Linked DNA regions of Notamacropus eugenii. The protein of the gene in region 3 purifies or fractionates together with the protein of the main gene of each other region. This does not show direct contact. Links are inferred from orthologs where the notes say so. Each region holds a gene or a part of one and is shown on either strand. Other genes may lie near its edges. The genes, in order: BCAP31, UQCRC2, VDAC1 and RAB2A.

Region 1 (7,265 bases), on a different chromosome or scaffold from region 3:
AGTCCAGTTGAGCCAATAGCTGTGTTGCTGTCCTGTGGCAAAACCTTTGATAAAGCCCATAAGTTCTCCTCCTCTAATTATCTGTGCTATAAATCCAGATTGTCATAGATTGGACTGTGTTTGCTGGGAGCAAGTTCTACCAGTAAAGGGATGAGTCTGCATTCTCTGAGCACACTTGAATCCAGAGTCCTGCTGGGCATAAGGGGATTCAATCCTGGTGGACAAAGTAGCTATGGGGTCTCTGCCAAGTAGCTCTCATTCAACGCTGTCTTCCAGGGCTCCCTTTCCTGGGGGAGCCTGGTGGGTGGGATCTGAAGTCCTATGCCCTATAGCTCAAAATCTTAAGGGAAGGCCAGAACACTCTTCATAGCTGCTCCCTCCGACTTCTCCAAAGGTGGAGCTTTTAAATACCTAACTCAGGAGGGTGGATATAATGCCGGCCCCCTCTTCATCCCTCCTACCCGATTACACACTTCCCCCACAAGCCACGTGTCACCTGCTGAACAAACATCGGGATAAAGGTTTCCCCAAATTACACAGCTTAGTACAAAGGAATCTTGGAGAAAGACCGTCCCCTTTAGGGCCCCTTCCCACTAAGAGCTCGAAGTGAAAGTACGTCAACAGGCAGAGGGACAGGGGAGATACCCATTCTGCAGCACAGGGTGAAAGTGAAACAAGGAGGTTGGCGCCTGCGCAATGAAGCCCCCAGCCCCAAGAAGGGAAGAGAAGGTGATAAAGAGAGCGTTGGCCCGGAGTAACCTCTCCCGGAGCCCCATGGTTATGCAGTTAAGGCAGAGGCTGATTCCACCCCGTTAGAACATTCCAGAGGCCCTAGCCACTGGCAGCGAAAACCATAACAGATCTTATTCCTGATCTTTTTGCCGGGGGCAGACTCTGCCAGGAGAAGGCTGATCCGGGAGCGGTCTCCCCGAGAGGACAGTGGGATTTGGCCAGGGTTGCGGAAGGGCGGACACCCTCCCTTGGTGGGGAAGCATGGGCAGGAAGTGGCCCATACCAGCCTAGTCCCCCGAGGGGCCCTGCTGGGGGTGGGAAAAATGAGCTCAAGATAGCCTTCAAGTATCCAATTCCCTAGCGGGGAAATAGGTATACAGTAGAGTGTGGGAGGAGGAAAGGATACAAGGGGAAAACTGGCAGCTGAGACCAGGACAAACAGGAGTTACACAACTTCCCCGTGATCTCTGTCGACTAGGTCTGTTATCTCAGCATCCCTTCATTCCCTCCTTTTCAAGGAAATGAGGAAGGGGGGTGGGGGAGAAGGCACGGGGCCCCAATCCGACTGAGAAACTTTGCAGGCAAGGAGCCATGTTGGTATTGGATCCTAGAGACGAGGAAGGAGGTCAGCAAAGACCTGACCCCTAATCCCAAATGGCCAGTCTTTGCTGGTGCCGCTTGTTAACCGAGCTTGGGTCTGAGTCATTCTTTGAACACCCCCGCCTTCCAGAGGCCCATCAGAGGGCTACCTGGGTTTCAACAACAGAGAATAGGGAGGGGTCAGACAATCAAGGAGCCGGGTCTTGATTCAACCAGCTCAAGTCACATGGCAAATGGCAGTTCTCCATTTCCCCCTTTCCCTGGCCCCAAGCTGCCCTCCTCCTTCCACTGGAACCAAAAACATCCCAGATTTCCCAAACTTTGAAAGCCCTGCATTCTGTGGTTCTGAGTGCCTCTGACTCTGCATTTCTTCTTCCCCACCCCTTAGCATGAAAGCCAAGAGCTTGGTCCTCAGAGAATACATTCCCAGTCCTTGGCATCTTCCCAGCTCAGTCATTAGGTTAGACAGACCCAGCCCTGGGACCTCGTAGGGCTCTGGGCAAAGAGAAACTTGCCCTAGAGCATGGAGGACTGGAAGAACCTCAAGGAACAAGGTTGGAGGGGGCCAGGGAGGCTCTCGGGTATGAAGATAGACAAGCAGAGACTTGAATGGGATGCTCTAGTCTGAAACCGCTAAGATTTTCTGGCAGCCAGTCTCGAGAACAAAATAAACAGAAGTGTCAAAGAAAGCAGCAGTTTGTAATTTAGATGGAGCTGGGAGAGAACCCCTCACCATCATGATCTTCCCCTGTGCTACCCCCAGGGACACTTCCCCTACACACACACACACACACACACACACACACACACACACACACACACACACACACACACACAACATACTCCTACATCAATCTCCAACCTTTCCTGAAACCTCCCTTTTTTTCACCCGACCGCAAAGTCTGAACCCCCACCTCCCCATTAGGTTCCTCTTCCACCACTAACCCCAATACCCCTCCCCCCTTTCCTTCCTCATTTCTGCCACCAACTCCTTGGACAACTGAAGCCTTTCCCCAATGTGGGCCCTGTCTCCCCTGTCATCCTCCACATCCCCCATGGCTCCCCACCTCGTGGCCTCCGTAGAAGGCAATCTCCTCCGAGTTGGCCACCACTCTCGAGTGCATGTAGCGCAGTTCCCCTTTGCGGCGGGCCTCCTCGGCCACCAGCTCTCCGAATTTGGGGGAGCAGGCCCGAAGCACCTTGGCCGTGAGGAAGACCACCAGGCCTGCGATGGCCGACGGCCAGGATGTGCTGGCTCCCCGGGAGCGAGCTGTGCGCACCAGGGTGTACGAGGTCACTGCCACATCGAGCAAGGGCTTGGTCAGGTTGGAGTAGAGGTGGGCCACTGAGGCAGCGAAGGCTACCACGTCCTCAGTGAGGGACTGGTCAGGGTTGCGCAGGCGGCCGTCCATGTTGCTGACTCGGTAGTAGGTTTGCTGGCTGAAATAGAGGCGGTAAGCGTGCTCCACGAGGCGGCTGCGGAAGGCCAGCGCCAGGCGGCCCTCCAGGTAGCGGATGGCGCTGTTCACGAAGGTGGCGGGCAGCGCGATGAGCAACCACTGCAGCAGCTGCCAGCTGAAGGCCCGCGGCTGCTTGCGCACGATGCAGCGGGCCAGGCGGCCATCCAGGCGGGCCACGTACACGGACAGGAAGGTGCGGCTGACCAGCGCCGCCGTGTGCAGGCCCAGGAGCGCGGTCTCCCGGCACAGGACCTTGGGGAACAGGAGCCGCAGCAGCCACAGCAGCCGGCGCAAGAATTCGCGGTTGGCGCTGGCGCTGGTACTGCCGCTGGCGCCACTGCCCGTGGCCCCGGCGGCCGAAGAGCCCGAGGCGCTGCGGGCCTCCGCCTCGGCCCGGCCCGGGGGGCCCCGCGGGTGCGGCGTCACCAGGCACTGGCGGACCAGGGGGTAGATCTTGTGCGCCCCGTAGGCCGTCAGGGCCAGCACCACGGCCAGGCGCCGCAGGGAGGCCGCCCGGGAGGGCCGCGCCGTCGAGAGCACCTGCATGGCGCCCGCCTGGAAGGGTGGGCACCCGAGCTTCTAGCGGAGGCCGCGGAGGTTACCCGGGCAACTAAGGCCTTGCGGGCAGGCCCCTTAGGCCGTTTCCTAGGAAACCAGGGGTGCCACAGGGCATCCACTGAGGTGGTTGCCCTAGCAACCAAGCAGGTACCTGTCAATCTGGGTCTCTCTTTTGTCAATCTTGGGTCCCTCCTCTATGTCTCTGGCTCTTTTCAGTCTGTCTGTGTGTCAGTCACTCCTTTCTGTCTCTACACTTTTCCTCTCTCCAGTTTGTCTCTCCTCTCTCTGCTCTCTCCTCTCTGTCTCTATCTCTCCTCTTCACCCTCCTCAGTCAGTCAGTGATCCCTACCCCCAGACAGCCCCGTGGACCACGTAGGGTCAGGATTTGGGGTGGAGGGGGGCCGGGGAAGGGAGTGCTATCTTCTCTTCCTCCTCCTCTGTTTCTTCCTCCTCCTCCTCCTCCTCCTCCTCCTCCCAGGGCGCGGCCCCTCCCCAGGACAGCAAACTCGACCGCTCCTCAGCCAGACTGGAGCGACAGTGACTCCGCCACCGGCCCATAATCCCCACCCACCCCTCCCCGGGGGCGAGCGAGATGGGGAGGGGGGAGGAGGAGGAGGAGGAGGAGCTGCAGCTGCTTCGGCCGCCGCGGGCTACAGAGACCCCGCCCACCTCACGCTTCTAGCTACTCCCCGCCTCGCCTCCGAAATCATAGAGATATTGGAGGACTCAGTTGACTAGAGAGGCCATTTCCCACCCCTCCCACCCCCGGCTGGCCCCGCCCTCAGGGGTGTCGTCATCGGTAGAGAGCGCCCTCTGGCCCCTTTCCTGGGCATGCGCATTCCCGCACTCACGCTTTCCTACCTGCCCTCCGAGGCTGCTGTAGCAGTAGGTGGAAGCGGTGCGGTGGTTGGTGGAAGACTGCACAGGAGGCGGGGCCTGACCCTCCAACTTCCGATTTCCGGTCTGTGGACACAAGGCTGAGGGGCGGAATTTGGGTGGGAGAATACTGAGTTCGGGCACTCAAATCTTACGGCTGTGGTGCCGAGGCGCGCAGGTGAGAAGAGGGCGGGTCCGACCCGGCCAGGGGGCCAGCCAGAAGTTGAGGGGGGAGCCATGAACTAAGGGAAAGGACCCCCGTGAAGCTACCGGGCCCTGAAGGTGGCGGCCCCCTCGCTTCGGACGAGCGTGGAGCTGAAGACCGGAGAGGAGGGGGGACAGGGGACGTCCCGATGCCTGGGCGGGGAGGGGGTAGGGTACTGGGAGACGGCCGAGGCCGCGCAGGCGGTGGGGGTGGCTGCTGCCAAGGGAGCAGGACCCCTTCGGCCCCAGGGAGCGGAGCTAGGCCTGCGTCCTGGCATTGCCAGCTAACCAGATCTGTCGCAGAGTGCCGGGGAAAATTGGTCAGGAGGTGCATTTAGTGAGGGCGTGAGCGAAGGGTTTCTGCTGCATAGTCAGAGGGCCCTGATCAGGTTCCAACAGAGGGGTGGAGTAGGGTTACTTGTTTGGAGAGAAGGGGACCTTATTCTGGCCTATCTGGAAGACCTAGCCATTTCCAGATTCTCCTTTGCAGGGGCCCAAGTCATCTACTCCAATTAATTCATTTTACCAAATCTGTGCGAAGTGATTTGCAAAACTTTATATCTCCATGTAAATAGAGACTGCGGTTATTATCGTTATTAATTTGTTATTGTATTATACAAATTGGAAAAATAAAATAAAACCCGGCGAGATTAAATGGCCTACCCAGAGTCACTCAGGTGCCTGTTTTGGGAATCAAACACATCCTCTTTAGTGCTTTTCCCACCGGAAGTCAGTTAGTTTTGACTTCTGGCATCTCAAGATTCTACTTGGGTGCCTGGTTTAAGGGACATAGTAGTCCTGTGAATCACACTGTCTGTTCATGTGTTTGGGGCTTTTAAAACCCATACTCTGAAGACTTCAGTAAATTATGTAGTAGATTAATTTATTTACCAGAACCAAGGGGTCCCCTGGTCCTTTAGAAGTTGTTGATAGGTTCCCCCAGCTATGTTAATGTGGCTTAATTCACTTGCTTGTTTTAATTCCTGTTTGAAGGAACGTAGTATGGTTTTTAAAGCTGAGAAGAAGGATTGGTGAGGTATGGATCAGCACAGTTTCTTCAAGAATTTGTTGCTCATTGATCAGCTCCTCACCTCCACCCCTTTCTCATGGCCTGTGTTTCCTCAAATCTTTTCAGACATTTCAGAGGTTGGTCTATTCTGCCTCCAGGTCAAAACCAACTAGTGACTAAGGATGAGTCTTCAGTGGACTGCGGTTGCTACCTTCCTCTATGCAGAGGTCTTTGCTGTGCTGCTGCTCTGCATTCCTTTCATTTCTCCCAAAAGGTACAGCCTATTGAGTGATCAACTTCAGAGCTCAAGGTGCCTTTATGATGAATTGTGCAATGCTGAGCCCCATGACCTACGTGTATAGGTTTGGTGGCTAATTGATAGGACCTCCAGGGCTTCCCTAGTGGAATGATTCTTCATAAAGGGAGGCAGAGCCATCTGCTTTTCATATTTTTTAGATAAAGTGTTTCACCTACATGAAATCCTCCCAATTTCTCTTCCCATTCCCCTTTCACTTTTGGGTGTCTGCGGTGCAGCCAGGTTCCTAGGATGGAGGTGGATGTGGGAGGTTGGGGGTCCTTATGCAAGCTGATTCTCCTTAGTTCTAACACTTACCTAATACTTCTCTCCAGAAGTGTCAGTCTGTTGTAATTAAGCAATTGTCGGTCCAGGTGCACAGACTCCCCAGACTGGAAAGTTGAGAAAGTATCTGGGGCTGAGAGGGATCCCAGGGTACTTTGAGTATCTCCAGCTTCTGTTTCTTTCTCGTTAGATGGCAGAAGATCTTTAAGTCCCGCCTGGTGCAACTGGTGGTGAGCTATGGCAACACCTTCTTTGTGGTTCTCATTGTTATCCTGGTGCTGCTTCTCATTGGTGAGTGACAGAGATGTGGTCGTGGTGAGCAGTATCCCAAATAGGAACCTCTCACAATTCCATTTCTTCCATTTGTCTAATTTTCACAGTTGTGTCTCACCCCCCTTACCAGATTGTACATATCTTAGGCATCTGTCCTCTGATATTCTTCATAAACAGGGATGGCACTGTTGATCCATAGATGCTTTGGATGGTCTCCAGGATGCCTGGCCTTCGCATTAGTACCAGGTTCTAGCCACTGGTCCAACAGATCTGGACCCCAGACTTGAGCAAGCTTCTTCTGGTAACCACGTTTTAGGTACAGAGATTGAACAAGCTAGGCCCATTAAAAGTTGCAAAGGTAAACAGAGTCCCATTTTTTTGTATCCTTGAAGAGCCTATGTCAAAAGAAAGGCAAAAAAAAGTAAATTTCCCAACAGAATCAAGAAAAGCAATGAATGAGAGTAGAAAAAGCATTGGACTTGGGAGCTGATGTTGCCACTGGGACTAGAACCTAGATCACTTAACCCGCTTTGGGACTTGGAGCAAATCACACCCCACCTTGGGGTGAAGAAAATGTCACTGCTCCAAAAGAGCTTTAATGGCTTCTCTAACTGGTCTCAGGTTTCCCCGTTAGTCCAAGCAGGGAAGAACCTCCGTGCTGTAACAATAGTATGCCCCTATCCTACTTGTCTTCCTAGGGCTTGGCAGCTTAATTCACAAGATTCAAGGAGATGTGTCCAGGCAAGGTTGCATCTTAGCAAGATGGGTGTGACACATCAGTATTCAAACATGTGCAATGCCAGCTGCTTGTTTACCATACTGATGGCTATAGATTCACATTGACTTAGAAGTATTTTGTAAGGTAGCTGCTTTTAAGCAGGGTACTCTCACTACCAAGGTTTTGAGTCAGGTAGTGGCAAAAGAGTATCTCTGTTGTTCTTGGACCATTTTGAGACCAGGATTTTTTGGAGAG
Region 2 (7,356 bases), on a different chromosome or scaffold from region 3:
AGCACAGTCCAGCATGGGCCACATCAGCAGAGACCAGCTGAAGCAGGTCTCAAGGGACTGAATCATTGGCAGCTGTGGCTGTTTTTAGAGTTCTCAACTCACAAATGTCAAAAAGGTCAGTGGAAAACTCTGTGGGATTTGGGTGAAAGAAGAGCACATGGTCTGGCCAGGTCCAGCCCCAATCCCAGCAGTGGCACCAGAGGCAGCAGTGGCAGCAACAGGAGAGGCTGCTTTAGGAACTCTGAGACAACAGACAGTGGGGGATCAAGTGGCTGATACAAAATCCCTGAAGCCTGGGAGAGTACACCCACACCCACACCCACACCCATACCCACACCCGCACCCACACACACTGGAAATAGAATACTACCTTGACAAAGAGTTAGAAAGTAAATGTTTGGCTGGGAAGATAAGTAAACATTATAAATGAACTCAGACTATAGAATCTTACTTTTGTGACAAGATTAGGGCATACAAACAGAGGAGGACAGCAGAGTCAAAGCTCAACATCAAAAGCCTCCAAGAGGAATATGAATTGGTCACAGACCATGGAGGAGCTCAAAAAGGATTTTGAAAATCAAGTAAGAGAAGTAGATGAAAAATGGGGAAGAGAATGAGAGTGATGCAGGAAAATCATGAAAAATGTCAACAGCTTGCTAAAGGAGACCCAACAAATACTGAAGAAAATAACACATTAAAAAAATAGACTAACCCAAATGGCAAAAGAGGTCCAAAAAGCCAATGAGGAGAAAAATGTCTTAAAAAGCAGAATTGCCCAAATGAAAAGGGAGGACCAAAAGCTCCCTGAAGAAAATACTTCCTTCAAAATTAGAATGGAGCAAATGGAAGCTAATGACTTTACGAGAAATCAATAAATTATAAAACAGAACCAAAAGAATGAAAAATAGAAGACAATGTGAAATATCTCATTGGAAAAAGAACTGACCTGGAAAATAGTTCCAGGAGAGATAATTTAAAAATTATTGGACTACCTGAAAGTCATGATCAAAAAAGAACCTGGACATCATCTTTCAAGAAATTATCAAGGAAAACTGCCCTGATATTCTAGAACAAGAGGGTAAAATAGATATTGAAAGAATACACTTATTGCCTCTAAAGAGAGACCCTAAAAGGAAATCTCCTAGGAATATTGTAGCCAAATTCCAGAGTTTCCAGGTCAAGGAGAAAATATTACAAGCAGCCAGAAAGAAACAATTCAAGTACTGCGGAAATACAATCAGGAAAACACAAGATCTAGCAGCTTCTACATTTAAGGGATTGAAGGGCTTAGAATATATTCCAGAGGTCAGATGAGCTAGGATTAAAATCAAGAATCACCTACCCAGAAAAACTGAGTATAATGCTTCAGAGGAAAAAAAATGGTCATTCAATGAAATAGGGGATCTTCAAGCATTCTTGATAAAAAGACCAGAGCTGTATAGAAAATCTGACTTTCAAAGACAAGAATCAAAAGAAGCATGAAAAGGTAAACAGGAAAGAGAAATCATAAGACACTTATTAAAGTTGAACTGTTTACATTCCTACATGGAAAGATGATATTTGTAATTCATGAGACCTTTCTCAGTATTGGGTAGTTGGAGGAGATAGATAGATAGATAGATAGATAGATAGATAGATAGATAGATAGATAGATAGATAGATAGATAGATAGGCAGGCAGGCAGGCAGACAGATAGACAGACAGACAGATAGATAGATAGATAGATGGGACAAGGTAAGTTTAATATGAAGGGATGATATCTAAAAAATAAAATTAAGGGGTGAGAGAGGTATATATTGGGAAAAGGAGAAAGGTAGAGATGGGATGGAGTAAATTATCTCACATAAAAGAGGCAAGAAAAAGGTTTCACAATGGAGGGGAAGAGGGGAGAAGTGAGAAGAGAATAACAAACACACTCAATGGGGTATCTTACCCTACAGGAAAGTAGGGAGGAAAAGGATAAGAAGGAGGGGATGATAGAAGGGAGGAAAGATTGGGGGAGGGAGTGGTCAGAAGCAAATACTTTAGAAGGACAGGGTCACAGGAGAAAATAGAATAATTGGTGGGGGGACGATAGGATAGAGAGAAATATTGTCTTTCCCAACATGACTATTAATGGAGGTGTTTTGCATAACTACACATGTATATATATTGAATTGCTTGAGTTCTCAATGAGGGTGGGTGGGGAAGCAAGAAGAGAGAGAATTTGGAACTCAAAGCTTTAAAAAACAAATGTTAAAAAATTGTTTTTACATGTAACTAGGAAATAAGATATACAGGCAATGGGGTATAAAAATCTATCTTGCCCTTCAAGAAAATAAAAGAGAAAAGAATAAGAAAGGGGCATGATAAAAGGGAGGGCAGCCTGGGGGAAGGGGTAATCAGAATGCATGCCATCTTGGGGTGCAGGGAGGGGAGAAATGGAGAGAAAATTTGGAACTCAAAATCTTTAGAAATGAATGTTGAAAACTAAAAATAAATTATTTTTTTTAAAAAAGATAGAGTTTTGCTTTCATGAGAATCTTAAAGTCAGTAAATGAGCTCTGCAGTTTCCCAAGGGCATTTTAGGCCATTTTCTTACTCTTTTTCAAATCTGAATGCAGCCCACTGACTATCAGTACTACCTTTCCCAAATATACATACTGTTGAACAAGTTCTATAGGGTATCATCCAACTGCTTGTTGAAATTTGGGCAAGACATTCTTCATCTACTGTCTTTTCTGGGTGTTTAGACAGGACAAACTCCTTTGTGTAATTTGACATAAGGACAGAAGATGGGCATTTATTAAGTGTTTACCATGTGTCAGGCATGATGCTAAGCACTGGGAATACAACAGCAAGAAAACAAGATGGTCCCTGTTTTCAGGGAGTTTTTGTTGTTCTTCAGTTGTTTTCAGATTTATCTGACTCTTCATGATTCCATTTGGGGTTTTCTTGGAAGAGATCCAGAGGGGTTTGCCACTTCCTTTTCCAGCACATTTTCCAGATGAGGAAACTGAAGCAAACAGGACTAAGTGGCTTGCCCAGAGTCACACAAGCTAGTAAGTGTCTTAGGTCACAACTGAACTCAGGAAGATGAGTCCTCTGGACTCTAGGCCCAGCACTCTATCCACTCACCACTTAGCTGCCCTTCAGGGAGCTTACAGTCTAATAAAGGAAGATAGGAAATAAAAGGGCACTGAAAAGTAGCTGAGGAAGGGTGGGAAGGTATCACGTGGGGACCACAGAATGAGCTGGAGATGCAGAACGCATATCTAAAGATCCTTTCCTAGAAGCTCTGCAGCGTCCTGGGGCTTGAGGTAATCAGCAGAATGTCATCCAAAAACAGGATCCCTTTTCAACTTGGACTTCACCCTGGATCTCCTCCATCGCAGCGGCGGCTACCTTTGGCAAACACGGATCTCCCTTTTGTATGCCTCACCTGATATTTCTTACCAGAGAGCCATCAAAAAGGATTATCTGCCACATCATCTCCTATGGGTTCAGTGATCATCTCTAGGAGAAGATTCTCAGAACCATACAACAAATCCTACTAGTCTCTCCTGGGCTAGAATCCTACATCTTCAAATGCGTCTTCCGCATCTCAGAGTGGGTTTCTCACAGGCACCTCAGACTCAACACGTCCTACAGAACTTACTGTCTTGCAAATGAAGGCACCTTCCTCCTCTCCGCCACTCACTCGGGCTGGCAGCCGTGGCTACCTATATCCATTCCGTAGGATACGCGTCTGGACATTTCGGACCTCACAGCTCCCATGTGCCTGCCCACCCTTGCTCAGTCCCTCTCCGCTTCTCACCTAGACTACTGCAGTCACTTCCCAGCTGGCTCGTGGGCTTCACTGTCCACTCCAATCTATCCTCCACACAGCTGCCAAGGACCATGTCACTCAAGAAACTCCAGGGGCTCCCTAATACCGCCATGGTCAAGTAGAAAGTCCTCTGGCACTCCAAGCTCTCCAGCCTGAACCCTTCCCACCTTTCCCAACAGTTTATTCCCCTCTGGACTGCATTCTGCCACCCAGCCACACTGGCCTCCCTGCAGTTCTTGAAAACAGCATTCTGTGCTGTCTGCCATGCCTGGAATGAACTGCCTCCTCATCTCTGCCTTTTAGTTTGCCTGGCTTCTACAGGACATGCGCACAGCAAGCACTTAGCCCGCGCCCGTCCAATTTAACCAAAGGCTTAACTCGAAGAACTCTCTGACCTCTCCTTCTGCTTGAAGATGAGCCCGCCCTCAACCTGCCCACGTGGTAAAAGTGGGGGGGAACGTAGAGGAGGCGGGGCCCAGAGGCTCTAAGGAGCTGATTGGTGCCCATGGCAAGAAGAATCCAAGTTGGCAGTGGGGGAAGTCGTTACTACCGGTTTTACCCTTCATCCAGTCGTGAAGGGATAAGGAAAATGTCACCTAGCAAAATGAACGTGGGCTAATATTAAAGTATTTTTTAATGGAAGTCTTGAAATTTACAGGCAGTGGTAAAAAGGGAATCGGCATAAGAAATGAAGGCCTCCCCCAGCTGCGCAGGGCGTGACTAAACGCCTCTTCCGGCCCCCCCGCCCCGGGCTAGAAGCAGTAGAGAGCGCTCGGTGAAGAGAGGCCTCCCGGAGGGAGCGCGAGGCATTCTGGGAAACGGAGGTCCTCCGCCTCCATCTTGCTTTCTCTAATCCCTGTCAGTACGGGGTCACGAGTGAGTCGGGGCCATGAAGCTGCTAACAGGCGCTGGATCTCTCTCGGTGAGCGCAGCCGGCTTGGCGGAGGGCGTGACGGGCTTCCAGGGGAGGGAAGGGGGCTGGTGTGGTCGCCTGGCTCGGGTTCCTCCGTCAGGCTTCCCCGTTCTCCCCTTGTCCTTCAGCTGAACCCTACGGAGGGAGCAGGCGGCCGGGTCCGGGGCGGCTGGGGGTGACGGCTCTGTCCCCTGGGAGCCGAGCGGAGGCCCGGGTCGCCCCTTCCCGAAGGACTGAGGGGACACCAGTGAAGGTCATGCTTGTGACCCCGCTCCGTGGGCGGGGAGGGTCGGAGCCACACCCTCCGCTCGAACCCCTGAGGGTGAAAGCGGGGACTTGGGGTAAAGACCCTCCTCGAGGATTCTGGGTGGGCTGTGCAGAAAAAGGCCTCCTCCGGGTCCGCACCCCAGCCTTCCTGCAAAGCGGGGAAATGCTTCGGGGCCCGGGGCAGCAGCCTCCCCTCCCCCGCCCCGAGCCTTCCCCGCTTGTTTAGGGGGGAGGTCCACGTGTCATCCGCCCTCCGGCTCCCCGGACCCGGGGCCTCTCCTGTCTGGGGTGGCTGTTCAGTGAAATGGTGGGAGATCGGTTTTTATTGAGGTCTGAAGTCTGGTTACAGAGGGTCCCTGGGCCCTAGTGCTTTGTGAACCACAGAGCGCCATAAAAAGCGAGTTATTGTTTTCATTTCATGCAAGTTTATTTTTATGGAATCCAGTGGTTTCCATTTGAGGAGAAGGAACTTTGGAGCCAAGAATTGAAACATTTGAATTATAATTGTACGGAATAACGACTTAGAGGGTGTGTTGGGGGGGTTGGGGAAGGGGGCGCAGGGGTTATAGGATAGCTGCAGCAAAGTATAACCGTGTATATGTTACGTATATATACCCTTGTATCACCGGTATGCATAGCGTTGCCCAGTCTTGGGTGATCGAGCCCCAAAGGGATTTTACAGGGCCATGTAGATAGGGGTTATTACAGGACACAGTAAAGGATAAACATACAATTGATTACCTTAGGAAATTATGTAAGCAACAGATATAAAAACAGATGGATTGAACTAAATGACATTTAAGCCCCCTTCTAAGAGCTCCTACTGAAAATATTAGATAGAAGGTCCTTGACGACTTCAATTCCAGAGGCTCTCTGAATGCAGATTTCTTTTGCTCCATGCATATCACTTCTTCAGATGTTAATGTCTCCTCAGCCTAGAATGCTGGCACTCTTCTGTATTTTTCGGGACCATCATACCTCTTTTGATATCCTTTGCCTTTTCTACCCAATCTGAACCCCTAGCTAACTTATTGCAATAATATTTTCACTAAGAATCTAACATCCCTGGGACCCTTGACCTTATGTTGTCCCTTTGTGATCTGAAGGGAATTTCTGTCAAACCCTTTCCCTGAAGCAGCCACTGAAGATTGGTAGTGGTGAAAGTAATAAAACCATACAAATTGTTTCTACTATAAATCAGTACTATTTAGTTGATGTGTCAGAGTGGAAATTGCACTGGACTGAGTGTCAGAATAACTAGTTTCCTATTCATGTTGTGCCATTGACTGTGGTTTCAGGCTCTGCACAAGATAATCTTTAAGGCTCTTTCTGTGTAAAATATTTTTATATGAATTTATCTTATATTTGTGGACCCTTATTTTAGGTGATAATCCTTTTACTCACCTTTTATTCTCTAATGCAGAAATATCCAACTGTGCCTAACCAAATAAAAAGGTAATTGGGAAATGTTTAACAAAAATAAAAATGCAGTACTGTGTAGGTAATGTTAATTTGTGGTTTTCTAGGTCAATATACTGCTCATAGGGATCGTAATCTGTTTTACATGACTGCTTTAACGTGTTCTCCAGAAGAGTGCTGTTTAAAAAAACAAACTACCTTTTCCCATTTTACTTAAGTCTCCTTTGCTTTCATGTAATGACCTTTTTTTTTTTGGTAACTGGATATAGAGCCATAGGCTCTATCTATATGGATAAAGAGCCATATTTTAGAACCCAGAGAAATTTTAGGCATTATCTACCTCTGCCCTCATGTTATAAATAAGGAAATGGAGACTGAGAGAGGTTTAAGTGACTTGCTCAAAGTCAAAGAAGAAACTAGTGACTGAGCCAGTCTGAGTCAAGTCAACAATAGCACCTTCCTCTTGGGATTAGCATGAAGATCAAATGAGATTAATGTATGTAAGACACTCTCTAAGACCCAGAGCACTAGAAAGAACTGGCACTATTATTCCTACTATATTGTGTTGTTCCCTCCTGAGTTATCAAATACTATTTAGATCTCTAGTTCTTTGAATACATATTGACTAAGGTGAATGAATGGAGACATTTATTTAGCTGTACAGAGCACTGCGCTAAGCACTAAGGATACAAATACAAAAGTAAGACTGGCCCTGTTCTCAGTCAAGTCACATTTGAATGAGGAAAGCAGTGCATTTCAGCTGCAAGTCTGAAATATCAAGGTCAGTGCCCTTAGGGTGCAAAGCAGATGGTTAATTCCTCTCCTCTAATGTCATTTCCATTGATAAAATCCTTTCTGATACCAAACTGTTTGATGATCCCATAGACTTTGATGGCAAGAATTTTCTTTTCTGGGTCTTCAGTGACAGTGGCTATAGCACCTACAGGAG
Region 3 (7,067 bases):
GCAACTTGGGAGGGGGACCTGGAGAGCCATTCTGGATGATAATGAGCACAGTCTTAAAGAATAGGTTCCCTGAAGTTCTATCCTGAACTTTGCCAACAGCACTCCATCCTAGCCCTCAACACAAAATCGCTAAATTTCTAAGAATTAGAGCAATTTAAAAGCAGACTAAGAGGACTGCCGATGTATAGGAGTTTGATCCAGGGGTGACAGACTTTTCTTTACTAGAAATATTTAAGTAGGGATTGGTTGATTACTTGTCAGGGATGCTGTAGAGAGAATTCTTAGTCAGGATGGTCTTTGAGGTTTCTTTCAATTCAGTGTCTCTGATTCTGAGGTTTTTTTTTTTATGTAGGGAATTCAATAGACAAATACTAGGAGGTAGGCTATTCCTAAGTTAAGGAATAGCCTAAGCAAAAGTACAGTAGTTTGAGAGAAGGCCACAATGTCTGGGCAGAAAGTAGTAAAATTTAGTTATAGTGCACTCATTTATTTCATGGTTCATAGGATATGGAGATGGAAATGACCAAAGAGATAATCTATTCTAATCCTTTTATAGATGATGGAGGAAACTAGCCGAGAGAGAGTGTATTAAGCCAGATTAGAATGTAGATCTTCTGACTTCAAATCCAGTGTTTGCACTAAAGTTGAGTGTCTAAACCAACCCTTCATCAGCTGATATACAGGTATATGCTTATTCTCTCAAATCCTAAAACAATAAGAATTTCCCAGAAAGGAAGGGTCTTGCCCAAGGTCACTGATCTAGGCTAGAGTCAGTCTAGGTAATGAAAAGTCATGGATAAAGAGTCCATGACATTTTTTCAAAAAAGCCCTCTTTGTCATAGTGTGTATCAGGAGTGGCCAGGTCAATCTACCTCCATTACAGGTACATTAATATATATAAAGCACTTTTCTAATAACCCTGCAAGGCATGAGGCAGGCATTGCAAATATAATTATTGCTATTTTACAGATGAGAAACCTGAATTCCAGACAGAGGAAATGATTTGTCCAGAACTGTCCAGGGTAAGCATCAAACACAGGTCTTCTCACACTACCTCCACTGCTATACCATACTGTATGGTATGGCACTTTAAGAGATAGAAATTTGATTTCAGCTTTAGGCAGTGCCTGGAGGTCAAAGAATGAAGATTGTGCTGTTGACTGTTAAGAGTGACTGGGTGGCAAAGAAATGGAAATTGTGGGGAATGCCCATCAATTGGGGAATGGCTGTAGCACATGAATGTAACAGAACACTACTGTGCTATAAGAAATGATGAGCAGGCAGATTTCAGAAAACCTGGAAAGACTTTGAACTGATGCTGAAGAAAGCAAGCAATCAGGAGAATATTGTACATAGTTACAGCAACGATGTTTGATGATTAACTTTGATAGAATTATCTCTTGTCAGCAATACAATGATCCAAGACAATTTCAAAAGATTCATAATGGAAAATGTTATCTACCTCCAGAGAAAGAACTAAGGAGTTTGAATGCAGATTGAAGCATACTATTTTCACTTTTGTGTGGGGTTTTGGATTCTTTTTTCCTTTTTGTTCTGTTTCTTCTTTCAAAACATGACTAATGTGGAAATAGGTTTAACATAAATGCACACAGATAACCTACATCAGATTGCTTGCTCTTTAGGGGACGGGAGAAGGGAAAGAGGAGGGAGGCAAAATTGGAACTTAAAATCTTACAAAAATGAATGTTGAAAACTATCTTTACATGCAATTGGAAAAAACAAAATATTATTTACAAAAAAAAAAAAAGTGACCAGGAAACAAGAGACCTAGGTTCTAGTCCCAACTAATTCTCTCCTCATTGTCTCAATTTCTGTGATGGCAATCAAATTAGGATCTTTTGCTGTTTTTATTTTACTAAAATGATGTGATTAAAGAACATCTTCTTCATCCGTTGATGGGCCTGCCCTTAGAGGGAAGCTTGATTAGGGGAGTTGTTTTGTAGGAAGGTCCCAAATACCTTTTGTTTTCTCTATTGAGGCACTGGATCAGCGGGTTATGCCCTCTGGCTCTGAAAAGTGTGTATAAATATTCTGAAGGTAAGGTTTTATTTTGCAGCTTACTGACTAGAAGTGTTTGTTTGGCCAGAGGAGGACTCTGGGAAGCAGCTAAGGAGTCCTTCTCCCTCCCGCTTTGAGAAACCCAGATGTTCCCTCTCTGGTAAAAATGTGTATATGTTAATGGGCAGACATTTTAGAAGCATGTGTGCTGACTTTTGATTTCTTAGTATTTTTTCTGAAGTTCAGGTGCTGACTTTTTCTCCTGAACTAACTGAATGATACATTTGCTTGATTAAAATGATTGTTAACCCCTCAAAGGTTGCCTTTCCCTTTAGAGAAGCAGATCAAAGAACCTGTGGTAGCAGGCCCCACTGTATATATTTCGGTGCTTACTGATACAGTTTCCCCATCATCATTCTTGTTCTGGTATTCTGTGGATCTATGATTGTTTGAGTAAGAGGGAGCCAGGATAGAAACAAGAAACATTATAATTTAATCTTTGTGATAGCAAAGAAGAGATACTATTTCTACCTCTTGCGTTAGAGATAGAAGATACATTGTAGAGATATTCTCTGTGTAATTCTGTTAGATAAAATGGAGCATTTAGATGCTTCTGTGATTCATTCCAAGTTGTCCTAGATTCTTGGGTTATTTCCCCCTCCCACCTTCACTACCAGTACAATAAGGAAATATAAAATGTCAGTTATTATTACTGTTGTTATCCCTGTACTTTCTACATATATATCTTAAGTCCTGGGACATGATTACTGATGTTCAGAACCTGCAGTCTCAATAGGTTTTTACAAGGCAAAGAAGGGTTCATTGATCTTGTCTCAGATTGGAGCCCAAAGGCAGAGCCATGGTTTCTGGCTCAATCTCAGTGATTTTTCAATGACGCCAACCCCTCCTAAGTTATGAAGAGTCTAGTTCTTGGAACTACAAGATAAGGAACCCAAATAGCCCCTTAGTCACAGGGTATGTCAAGTCAGCACCTGGTGAAGCACAGGGCAAAAGTATATGGTCACATATGGTATATGTGACCAATTGTGATTGGCCACATTTATGGTTATTTTGTCTGTCCTCAGATATGCCAACCCTAGCACAACTTAATTTGGTTTCCAAAGGTGGAACATGAAATTGTCAAAGAACAAAACAAACAGGAGAGATCAAGAATTAGGCTTGTGGCTCAGAATCCTGAGAGGTTCCTGGGAGAACTGAGCTCAGATTTAGAGCTAGAAAGAACCTTAGGTGTCATCTAGGCTGAATCTCCATTTTCAACCACGTTGAAACTGAGGTCCAGTGAGGATTAGTGATTTGTGCAAAGTCATACAGGTAAGCAAATAACAGTTCAGATTTGAATAGTGATTTTCAACCTACTGCTTTTTCTCTGTTTATTAAGTGTGACTGATTTCTTTTAGATCTAAAATTGTGGACCTAGGATAAAGTATGTTGCTTACTAATAGAGGCAGTTCGGAGTGGTAGAAAGAGCTTTTGGACTGAAGGATACTTGATCGGAGAATTGGATTGGAAAAAAAGGCTCCGCCACTCACTAGCTTTAAAACCTTAGGCAAGACTTCTAACTAACTTCTCTGAGCTTAATCTATAAAATGGAGGATAATAATCCTTGCCTGTCTACCACATGGAGTTGTAAGGAAAGTCCTCTGTAAAATGCAAAGTGCTGTGGAAATGGGAGCAGAGCAGAAGAGCCCATAGGTTCAAGGGCAGACACAGAAGTGCATACACGTCGAAAGCAGCCATTCTAAACAAGCCACAAGAGGCAGGAGACAGATGGAGAAAGGAAACTGGGAGGGGGGAAGGACAGGGAGAGGGGGAAGGGAAGCAAGGGTGGGGACAAGAGCAGCGGAGGGAGGCGGGAAAGGAAAAATGGAAGAAGGGGAGGAGATTGACTCGGAGCCCGGAGGAGCCCGCACCCGGGGGCGGGCTCGCGCCGCCGCCGTGCTCCGCGCCCCGCCCCGCTCCCCCGCAGCCTCTGCCGCCCCTTTGCCTCTGTGTCCGCCGCCCTCTGCTGCTCCCGCTGCGTTCGCCGGGAGAGGAAGGTAGGGACCCCCCCCCCCAAAAAGCCCTCTATCCCCCCAGCTTCCCTTCTGTGCCCCGGAGGCGTCAAGGCTGGGGCACAGATCGGCGGAGGCTGCTTGATTTCGTGCGGAGCTGCTGCTGCGCCTACCCTGGCCACTGCCCGGGCGACCTGGCCTAGAGCCTGACCCTGAGGTCTGGGGCGGGGGCCCTCGGGCGCAGCCTAGCAGGGCACAACCCAACCCGACCCGGCCGGGATGTGGGGGCGCGCCGAATGAGTGGGGCTGCGGTGGCCGAACCGGACTGACCGCGCTGCACTGTCACCGCTGCCCTCTTGGGAGCCCTGGCCCGGGGTAGGGGGGGCCCTGCTGGCGCCCCGCTTTTTGGCCCCCTCAGCCTCGCGCCCGTGCTCCCCGAGACCCTGCCTGGGGCTGCGCGGGCTAGGGGCCTGCGCTGGGGAGGGAAGCTGGCAGGCCCGGGCGCAGCGCCACGCAGCGCTGCTGGGGACGTGACCTTCCCGGCCGGGAGCTGCGGGGCCGCGTGTGCGGACCGTGTTGCCGGTCGGGCCGGAGGCAGCCCCTGGACCCCCGCACTCTCACCGCCTTGGCTTCCCTCTCTAGTGCACATCCCCAGCCGCGGGCACCCAAACTCCACCTGCGCCTGGCTTCCACCCGGGCCTCACCCGGTGGATAGAGACCCCTAGTCTCCCCACTTTGACTTCGCACTGTCGCCCACTTTTTGGCCTTCTATTAAAACATGCCCACAGGGTTAATTGGTGTTTGGTTGGCGCTGCTTTCTCGAAGACTGTCCCTGGATAGCAGCGGCCCTTGACAGCGGCCCAGCCACACAGACAGCAGGCCACATGGCCTACGGTGAGACCGGGTGCAATTCTACCTTTGTGGAAACAGAAATACCTTCGCTCGCAAATTATTCTGTGTTAGGAAGAGAAGGGATCCTAGAGATAATGGGTTTTAATCCCCATTTTGGTCCCAGATGATGAAACTGAGACCCAAGAAGGAAAAAGAATTGGCCCAAGGTCACACTGTTCTGAGCGAGACGGAGTCTCCAGCTTGAGTCTCCTGGCTCCCTGTGCCGGGATATTTGCATTATCGAAATCTTGTTTTCCTTGTGCCTAACGTGATTGTTCTTCTGTGAAACACGTCCCTAGAATTATCAGGGAAGATTTGCTCAAATAAATATTCTAGCATTTTCTAGATTTGTGAATTAGTTACATAGTTGCTATTAACCTCGGCCATTCACTGAGGTGAATAATTAGAGGAGTGAGAAATAAATGTTCAAGGGGAAATGACTCTACTCGAAACCACATTCTCCCCGCCCCCTCTCCCCCCAGCTTAATGAGGATAACCTATTAGAGTGATAACTGCTGGGTGGCTGGAAGAAATAGCTCAGATCTGCTGGCTGCAGCTGTTAGAATTGCTAAAAGCCCCCAAAAGTCCTTTGAAATACATTTTTAAAAGTCATTTGGTGTCTCCATGAGGGAGTCTTAACCATGGTCGCTCCCTTCTCTTCTCTCTCCAATCTAAAGGGGAAAAGAGGTTTGCACAAATAACTAATGCAAGAAAGAAAAGGATAGGAGGAGGGTGTGTGAATGAGTGTCTTGTGCACTTAGAAAAATACTTCTGGTCTCCTCTTTATCCCAAATATACTTTCCATGGGAAATTGAAAATTAATTATTGCTTGGTCAAAGTCATTTACATATTGGTGGGTGTGGTCAGAAACTTTTTAAAAAAATCTGCCTGCCTTAAATTAGTCTGGGCTCTGTCACTAGCTCACTTTATGACCTTGAATAAGTCCCCTCTCTGGACCTCAGCCAGGGCGTTGGACTTTGTGATATTTAAGGTCTTTTTCTACTCTGATACCTCATGACTCTGAATACCTCCTTATATTTTAGTGTTAGTGATGTAGTGATACACATCCCTCCTCACAATTTTTGACGACTTGGCAGGATCCATGATGCACCAGTTTCTCTTAGATGAGCCTTTGGTTGTGAGTGGGTCAGTTCCTAACCCATTGCTTAGCTCTGAGCTAATAATATTATAGTTAACAAAGATTAAGTATGCATTCCTGAATGAGATGCCAAGAACCAAAGTTCTGTTCAAGAATAGATTACATATTTTTTCCCCCATCATGACATTGTCTCTTTAAACAAAGTGAAACACCAATTCCCCTGACTTTCACAGGCCCCAGCCAAGATTGGGGAACTGATGATACTTGCAAAAGGCTAGTGAGTTTGTTTTAGCCCACTCGTGTACACTTGGAAATCTTTCAGCCTCCCCCTGGATGGCCTAGCAACTTTCGACTGAGTCATCCAAAAACTGAGCATCCAGGTTTTCAAAATTCCTTTGTCTTTATTTCTTTTTTTTATTTTATCTTTTCCTTAATCCTGTTACATAGCATATTATTGTTTCCTCTGCATGTAGAGGGTAAGCAATTTGCCCCAAATCTCATAGCAAGTTTGCAGCAGAGCCAAGACTAGGAATCTGGTCTTCTAAGTGCCAGTTAATGCATTTTTTGCTTTACTGTGTTACTAACTTAAATCTTTTCTAAAAATGCTCTCAGTGTCTAATCAGAACTGTATTTGAATGTTATGATCCTATAATTTTGATAGAATCTTGTAAAACTTGTGCAAAGCCTCATTTTGCTCTTTGGTGACTGTTGGAGAAGATGCTTCATCATCAGCATCACCCTCTGTATTCTTCCCGCAATTCCACATCCAAGTGACAAATCAGAATGGAGGGCATCAAACCAGTGAATTATCAGATATTTGCAATTTCCCCTGACCACCTCTTTGTAGGCAGGAAAGGCATATCTTCATAAGAGTTTCTTCCCAAAAAGTCCACTGTAGGCTTATAAATGTGTTAAGCAAAAGAATGAATGGTACCAACTTGAAAATCACTTTGAATGATTGGCCATCCTGACTTGTGGGCTTTCGTTGAAAATGTGAGTACAGAAAGTGACTTGGCTCACATTTTTGTCTAAAGTGGTTAGTTGTC
Region 4 (7,325 bases), on a different chromosome or scaffold from region 3:
GGCCCCCTGGATCATTCCAACATCCCCCATGGGGCAGTATCACCCACTTTGGGAACCTACGTAAGAGAGTGATAGAGGAAATAAAGTGCTGGAGAGGAAAAAAAACCTGAAAAATTTTAAATAATGAATTTTAAAGGATGCACAAAATATTTGCTATGAGATATTTACTGTTACTCATGCTTTTAGTTTCCAAAAATATTTTCTAAAGACTATGCAATAAAAACATTGCTATTTATGAATACTGTAGATAAGCAGTATGATGCAACTTTTCAAGAGTAAAACTATATTGAATTAAAAGGTAATTTAATAAGGTCCCTCTTGTTTATTTGCTCTCTGGAATAGTTGTTCTTTCTTCATTCTTGAAGATGATCATTGATATCAACAAAGTAATGTCTTGACTTTCCTGTGAATTACTTTTAAGTAAAATTCTCCCCTCAGAGTCATGGAAGTCTATAAGGTTAATGTAAGGTTAATGGTGGGTGGATGGGAAGAGTTAAAGATCTTCCTCACCCATTGATAGGCCTCAGATACCTTTGAGGAACTGGGTCACAAGGGTCATGCCCTCCAGTCCTGCAAAGGTTATATATATATATATATAACTCTGAGGTGAGGTTTTGCTTTTGGGGTTATTTTTTTGGAAGAAGGTTTGAGTGTCAGATGAGATTCTGGGTAGCTACTAAGGAGACCCCTGGCTTTGAAAACCCAGATATTGGTGCTTCCCCGTCTGATATCTATGTATGTATTGTCTATGGTCAGACAGTTGGAAGCCCTGCCTGTTGGTCTTTCTGTTTGTAATTTCTATTTGTATTTTCTCTAAATTTCAGGGTGTTGACTTTTCCCCCTTACCTAAGTGAATGATATATGTGTTTGATTAAAATTGATTGCTGACCCCTCAAAAGTTGCGTTCCTTTTAGAAAACCAGACCTAAGAACCTGTGCAGCAGGCCTTCCTGTGTATGCTAGGGTCCCTGCTGTTACGAAGTTCAGTAGCAAGATGAAAGTCAAGATGACTGACCATGGCCCTAGATGTGGTGGGTAACCTTGGCCTTTCTAAATTAAGGTCTTTCCCAGGTCCCAGTTTGTCTGAGGCAAAGCATTTTCAATGACTAAAGACTAGATAAAAATTGAGAGAAAAGATGACCTAATTTACCATCACAAAGATATCTGTCTGAGAGGGCATAGTAGTTATGTTCTTGTCTTAATGTGTAATTACTGTTTGAATGAACTAAACTTTTTTCTATTTTTTATTTAAATTATTTTATTTGTTTTCAATGTTCTATAATCATTTCCATATATCTTAGATTTTTTCCCCTCCTTCCCCTCTCCTTTCCCACTCCCTCCCTGATCTGACATACAATTTCATATTTATATTCCCATTAAATACATTTTCATCTTAATCATGTTGCATAGAAGAATTAAAATGAATGGGAGAAATCATTAAACAAAACAAAACATAATACAAAAGAAAATTGCTTCATTTTGCCATCCAATTCCATAGTTCTTTCTTGGGATCTGGAAAGTATTTTGCCTCAAGGGTCCATTGGGAATTTTTTAAGTCTTTTTATTGCAATGAGGTACTAAGTCTACTAGAAAAATTCCTTGCACACTGTGGTTGTTGCTGTGTACAAAGTTCTCCTGGTTCTGCTCCTTTCACTCAACATCAGTTCATATAGGTCCTTTCAGGCCTTTCTGAAGTCTTCCTGTTCATCATTTCTTATAGCACAATAGTATTCCATTACATTCATATACCACAATTTATTCAGCCATTCCCCAATTGATGGGCATCTTCTTGATTTCCAATTTTTGGCTACCACAAAGAGAGCTGCTATAAATATTTTTGTACATGTGGGACCCTTTCCCATTTTCATGATCTCTTGGGGATAGAGTCCTAGAAGTGGTATTGCTAAGTCAAAGGGTATGCACATTTTTGTAGCCCTTTGGGCATAGTTCCAAATTGCTCTCCAGAATGGCTGGATGGGCTCAAAGCTCCACCAACAACGAATTAGTGTTCCAACTCTCCCACATCTTCTCCAACATTTATCATCTTCCTGTTTTGTCATGTTAGCCAACCTGATAGGTGTAATATGGTACCTCAGAGTTGTTTTGATTTGCATCTCTCTAATCAATAGTGATTTAGAGCATTTTTTCATATGACTATAGATAGCTTTAATTTCTTCTTCTGAAAACTGCCTGTTCATATTCTTCAACCATTTATCAATTGGAGAATGACATATTCTTGTACATTTGACTCAGTTCTCTATATATTTTAGAAATGAGGCCTTTATCACAGATACTAGTTGCAAAAATTCTTTTCCAGTTTTCTGCTTCCCTCCTTATCTGCACTGGGTTTGTTTGTGCAAGAACTTTTCAATTTAATGTAATCAAAATTATCCATTTTGCACTTCATAATGTTTTCTATCTCTTGTTTAGTCAAAAATTGTTCCCTTCTCCATAAGTTTGATAAATATACTATTCCTTGCTCCACTAATTTATTTATACTGTCAGTCTTTATACCTAGATCATGTACTCATTTGGACTTTATTTTTGTGTACAGCATCAGGCATTGGTCTATGCCCTATCTCAGTATTCCCAGCAATTTTTGTTGAACAATGAGTTCTTATCCCAGAAGCTGGGGTACTTGGGTTTATCAAAAAATAGACTGCTGTATTCATTGACTACTGTGTCTTGAGTACCTAACCTATTCCACTGGTCTCTGCTGACTGAACTAAATTTTAATATCTCAAAACATGTTAATTTTGTGAGCAAGGTTACACAAAACACATTTTAATGTTCCTAAGGCAATTTTAAATCTATAAGACTCTCCATTTCAGTTTGACATATATGCAGGGTATTGAGGATTAAAAAGAGAAATCAACAGTTACTGCCCTTACAGAATTTCTATTCAGTTAAGATTACAATATGTACAGATATAAGTACACAGGAAGGAGAGATTACTTGAATATACAAGGGATGAGTAAAATTTTGCTCCAATATAAGGTGGTACCTATATTTAGTCTCAAATGAAGTAAGGGAACATAAGAGTTAGGAAGTGAATTCATTCTAAGCATGAAGGGCAATCTATAAGAGGGCAGACTACAGATGGAATGCCCAGATCTGGTTAAAGAACAGGTATTAGGAATGAAGACTATATGAGAGGAAGTGAAAAGGCAGATAGGACCTAGATTGTGATAGGCTTTAAGTGGGTAGCCTGACTTTATATATAGAAGCCAGGTTAGTCTTTGGGGTGCTCTCCTAGAAATCAATTTGTGAAGTAATGAGGATCTGACAATGGCGGTTGGGTGGGAGTTGTACCAGTGGAAAGTAGGGTATAATATGGGAGAGGTGGAATAAATAAGACCTGGCAACTGATGAAATGTGGAGGAGGGTAAGGGAATGGGCACAATTAAGGATACTTCTGAGGTTAGTAACCTGGGTAACAGCGTGGACCCCAGGAGAAATAATACAAACTGAAAGAAAGGAACAAGATTGACAAGATAAAGGATTCCTTTTCAGAGAATAATAGCTAACATTCCTATGGCGCTTTAAGGTTTGCAAAGCATCTTCCATATCTTAATTTCTTACCAGTCAGTATTCCAGAATCTATTCTTTTCCAGAAATCTCTTTTCCTGGAAGATCATGGCAACCCCAGAATCCCCACACTGAAAATATCCTCTACCTCTGTGGCCCTTCCCTGTGATTGGGTAAGAACAACTCTGTATTCCCTTCTCCTCTGGCTACCCCCTGCCCTCTCCCCAAACTTGGCTACCTGGACCTTCCTCCCCTTGATCTCTCCCTCCCCTTTCTGCTGCCTTTTATTTGTTGTCTGGCTCCCATTAGGATGTAAGCCCCCTGAGGGCAAAGGCTGGTTCTTCTCCACGCCTAGTTTTTGGACATTCCAGCTTTGGCATCCGATCTGGCACATGGTAACATGTAGCAATATCACACCGCTTGTCCATTGACAAGCGTAGAGCCTGACAGGCGCCTTCAGGGACCTCCGGATGAAGATGCCTAGCTGGCAGGTAGTGTCAGGGAACTGGTGCTCTGGAGATGGTAAGGATTTCTTTTTCACATTTTTCAACTGTTTTCCAAATGACCATTTGTTTCCTCCAACTATCACCAGAAAAGGTCTCAGACGTAGGTTTTGGGTTTTCCCCCCCACGAGCGCAGGGAACGCCCACCCACCTCGGAGCACGAACCGCCCGGCACGTCTGGTGTGCGCGTGCGCGAGACGCGCCCCTCCTCCAGTCCCCGCCCCCTCCCCCTCCGCCCGCTGTTCTTTCCAATCTGGGCTTGGCCGCACCCACTCCCTCCCTTCAGCTCCGCTCAGGGCCCCGCCCTCCGTAGCAGGGGGCGGGGGAACGGGCGGGGGAACGGGCGGGGGAGGGCGATCCTCCGGCGATCCGCCTCCGTTCCTCCGACTGCCGGCTCAGCGGCTGCTCTTCCGGGTCGAGGTCGGAGGGGGCTGGGCTGGGCAGCGAGGCTCATCTCGCCTCTGCCGGCGTCGTGTTGGCGTTTTCTCGGTTCCCTCGGCTTGCCGACTCCGCGCCGTCGCTGCCGCCGAGCTCCTCTTCTGGGCGGGCACGCCGGCGTCTGAGATCTTGATCAGGGCCGGGGTGAGGAGCCGCGGCTCGGGGGAGGAGGCGGAGGAGGAGCCGTGTGCCGGGGGCACGGAGCGGCCGCGGCCATGGCGTACGCCTATCTCTTCAAATACATCATCATCGGCGACACAGGTGAGTCGCCCGGCGACGGGTGGGCTGCGGCCCCCGGAGCCCCCCGTGCCGCGGGGCCGAGCGCGATTGGCGGCGGGTGCTTCCCTCCCCCGCCTCCGGCCTCTCCTCCACCCTTTCCCCTCCTCCCGCCGCGGCTCCATTTCCGCAGTGCTGGAGCCGGTGACGTGGGCACTGCGAGCGGCCTCTGCGGCCTGGCCTGCCGGGCCCCCGCCCAGCCCGGGCCCAGCCGCTCCAGGCCTCGGGCTCCGGGACGGCCACGTGTGACCCCCCGAGACCGCTGCCGCGGAGGGTTGGGCCAGGCCTGGAGCTCCCACCCACCCTCCCGCAGCCCCTCCCCCGGCCTGCGGGCAGGTAGAGGGGCCGGGCCGGGCCGGGAGGCTGTTGGCTGCTTGCGTATTTTTTACTTGGAAATCATCTTTCGTGACTTTAATGATGATGTCCCGGCTGCTACTGCAGTTCCTAGGCCGGGAAGGCTTTGGGCTTGCCTCCCCGAACAGGGAGTGCGATAACCTTTTACATCTCGCTTAAGGCAACAATGGTTTTGGCCTTAGAACCCTGGGAAAAAACCTTGTGAGGTCACCAGAGTGTCAAACTGGATCCTGAAGATCTTTCCTGATTGCTGACAAGTTACTGCAAACAGTTGCTATTGCCAGTTCTACAACTGTTTTGTTTTTACTTTTTGTATATCAATCCTATTAATGTGTTACAGGGATACTAGGATTTAGGAAATACACCATATCTTAGGTAATTAAGCCAGTTGTAGGGTTTTTTTTTTAAGTTTTTACATATCAATCCTATTAATGTGTAACATTGAAATACTAGGATTTGGGAAATATACCATGTTTTAGCTTTCTAAGCTAAATCCTAACTCACCGACTCCATAAAATTCCATTGGCTCCCTATCACCGGTAGGATCAAATAGAAAATCGTCTCTCTCTTGTTCAAAGCCCGTCCTAACCTGCCTGATCACCTACCTCTCTAGTTTTCTTACACCTTACTCTCTACTCCCCCACCCCCATACTCTGCTGTCTAGTGACACTGGCCTCCTTGAACAAAACACTTCATCTCCTGACCCTAGGTATTTTCACTGGCTGTCTCTTGGCTTGAATTCTCTCCCTTCTAGTCTTTGTCCCTTGGCTTCAAGTTCCATTTAAAATCTCACCTACAGGAAGTCTTTTCTGATCATCTTAATAGTCTTGCATGAATTCTTTCTGCATAAGATTTTGTTTGTATGTAGATTAGACTGAGCTCCTGGAGAGCAGAAACTAGGTCTTTTGTTTTTGCTTTCCTTTTATCCCTCATACCTAACACATAGGTGCTTAATATATGTTTGTTGACTGCTAAGTCCGTACTCTCTGTAAGGTGGTGTTGTCGTATTACCAAAGAAAAAGTTTCTACCCTTAAGGAACTTAGGTTCTCTTGGGTTAATCCAGGAGGTAATTTATGGGAGACCAGGCTTCCTTTTGAAGCAGCTAGAAACTTAAATGTTCTTAAAATTGTACCCCAGGATGTTAGATTTATTGTATCTGAAATCAGTTCACTTAATACTTTTTGTTTTGGTATACTGCTTTGAATCTAATAATAAAACAGCCTCATTCAGGTGTTAGTTAACTTGGTGTCACAACTTCAACTATTAATATACAAGAGTCTGATTTCATTGGTGACTCTTGCACAACTTTGGATATATTCTTGCAGTTGCCCCAAAGATGTGGCAGTACTTAATAGTACATTCACAAAAATCCCTTAATTGAATGACAAGAGACACTAAAACACTGGTAGAATCCGCATGTTCTTAAGGGATATGGGAAATAAATTGTTTTCAAGATAGTATGCTAGATAATTCAGTTTCCTGGACTTTTTATTTGGTAATACATACAAATTTCTAAATTTGCTATGGTACACCTGAGCATGAGAGGGGGTGGAGCTTAGACTGTTAGTCAAAGATAGTCTGTCCTAGTGGAAAGGGATAGGAACTGGGAATATGAGAAGTCTTTGAAAATAACATATTTTAGATAACCAAGTAATGAAAGTAAGGCAGTAAAGAGAGATGGCCACGTGGTTGCCTTTGGAGAAAAGGATCTGTCATTAGATGTTGTGGGTGGAATTTATCCAAAGCAGCCCCCAAGCATCCTGTTTATTCCCACCAAAATGTTTTCCTTTTTCTTGGTCATTTAGCTACTAAAGTCATGTGATTTTCATAAGGCACAGGTCTCATTGTGTCACTCTTTGAATCAGTAAACCTCAGTGGTCACCTTAAACTATATTTGACTTTTAAAGCCCTTCACAACCCTGGCCCTACGGACCTTTTGAACCTTGTTTGTGCATTATTCCCTTTTGAGCACCCTACAGTTCACCAAGATTCTGCAATCTCACTTCTTTGCCTTTCTTTGCATGGGCTGTGGGTGCCTCTGCCTGGAATGAACTCTCTCTCCCCACTGTAACCTCTTAGGATTCCTTGTTTTTTTTCAAACTGCCACTAAATGCCACCTTTTCTGAATGAGACCTTTTCCTGATTGGCTCCAGTGCTTCCCTTTTTTCCTATCATTACTTTGTGTGTATGTAGCATAAAAAACTAGTGCAGATATCACCTCTGACA

What was found.
Region 1: the proteins of VDAC1 (region 3) and BCAP31 purify together in Homo sapiens (affinity purification with western blotting; 3 studies listed by BioGRID, with this or other methods). This does not show direct contact. The link is inferred for Notamacropus eugenii from reciprocal best matches to the Homo sapiens genes VDAC1 and BCAP31.
Region 2: the proteins of VDAC1 (region 3) and UQCRC2 fractionate together in Homo sapiens (co-fractionation; 3 studies listed by BioGRID, with this or other methods). This does not show direct contact. The link is inferred for Notamacropus eugenii from reciprocal best matches to the Homo sapiens genes VDAC1 and UQCRC2.
Region 4: the proteins of VDAC1 (region 3) and RAB2A purify together in Homo sapiens (affinity purification with mass spectrometry; 3 studies listed by BioGRID and IntAct, with this or other methods). This does not show direct contact. The link is inferred for Notamacropus eugenii from reciprocal best matches to the Homo sapiens genes VDAC1 and RAB2A.

The regions. Positions count from the first base shown.
Region 1 is NC_092879.1:22,532,415-22,539,679, reverse strand, and holds the start of BCAP31 (B-cell receptor-associated protein 31), read left to right. Parts: upstream 1-4,168; 5' UTR 4,169-4,404; intron 4,405-5,565; 5' UTR 5,566-5,621; coding exon 5,622-5,713; intron 5,714-6,209; coding exon 6,210-6,310; intron 6,311-7,265. Other genes in the region: ABCD1 (ATP-binding cassette sub-family D member 1), read right to left, coding at 2,400-3,338. UniProt on the Homo sapiens protein: Functions as a chaperone protein. Is one of the most abundant endoplasmic reticulum (ER) proteins.
Region 2 is NC_092874.1:397,018,493-397,025,848, reverse strand, and holds the start of UQCRC2 (cytochrome b-c1 complex subunit 2, mitochondrial), read left to right. Parts: upstream 1-4,342; 5' UTR 4,343-4,697; coding exon 4,698-4,730; intron 4,731-7,356. UniProt on the Homo sapiens protein: Component of the ubiquinol-cytochrome c oxidoreductase, a multisubunit transmembrane complex that is part of the mitochondrial electron transport chain which drives oxidative phosphorylation.
Region 3 is NC_092872.1:341,433,560-341,440,626, forward strand, and holds the start of VDAC1 (non-selective voltage-gated ion channel VDAC1), read left to right. Parts: upstream 1-3,913; 5' UTR 3,914-4,076; intron 4,077-4,819; exon of another isoform or gene 4,820-4,925; intron 4,926-7,067. UniProt on the Homo sapiens protein: Non-selective voltage-gated ion channel that mediates the transport of anions and cations through the mitochondrion outer membrane and plasma membrane.
Region 4 is NC_092875.1:279,689,522-279,696,846, forward strand, and holds the start of RAB2A (ras-related protein Rab-2A), read left to right. Parts: upstream 1-4,271; 5' UTR 4,272-4,683; coding exon 4,684-4,729; intron 4,730-7,325.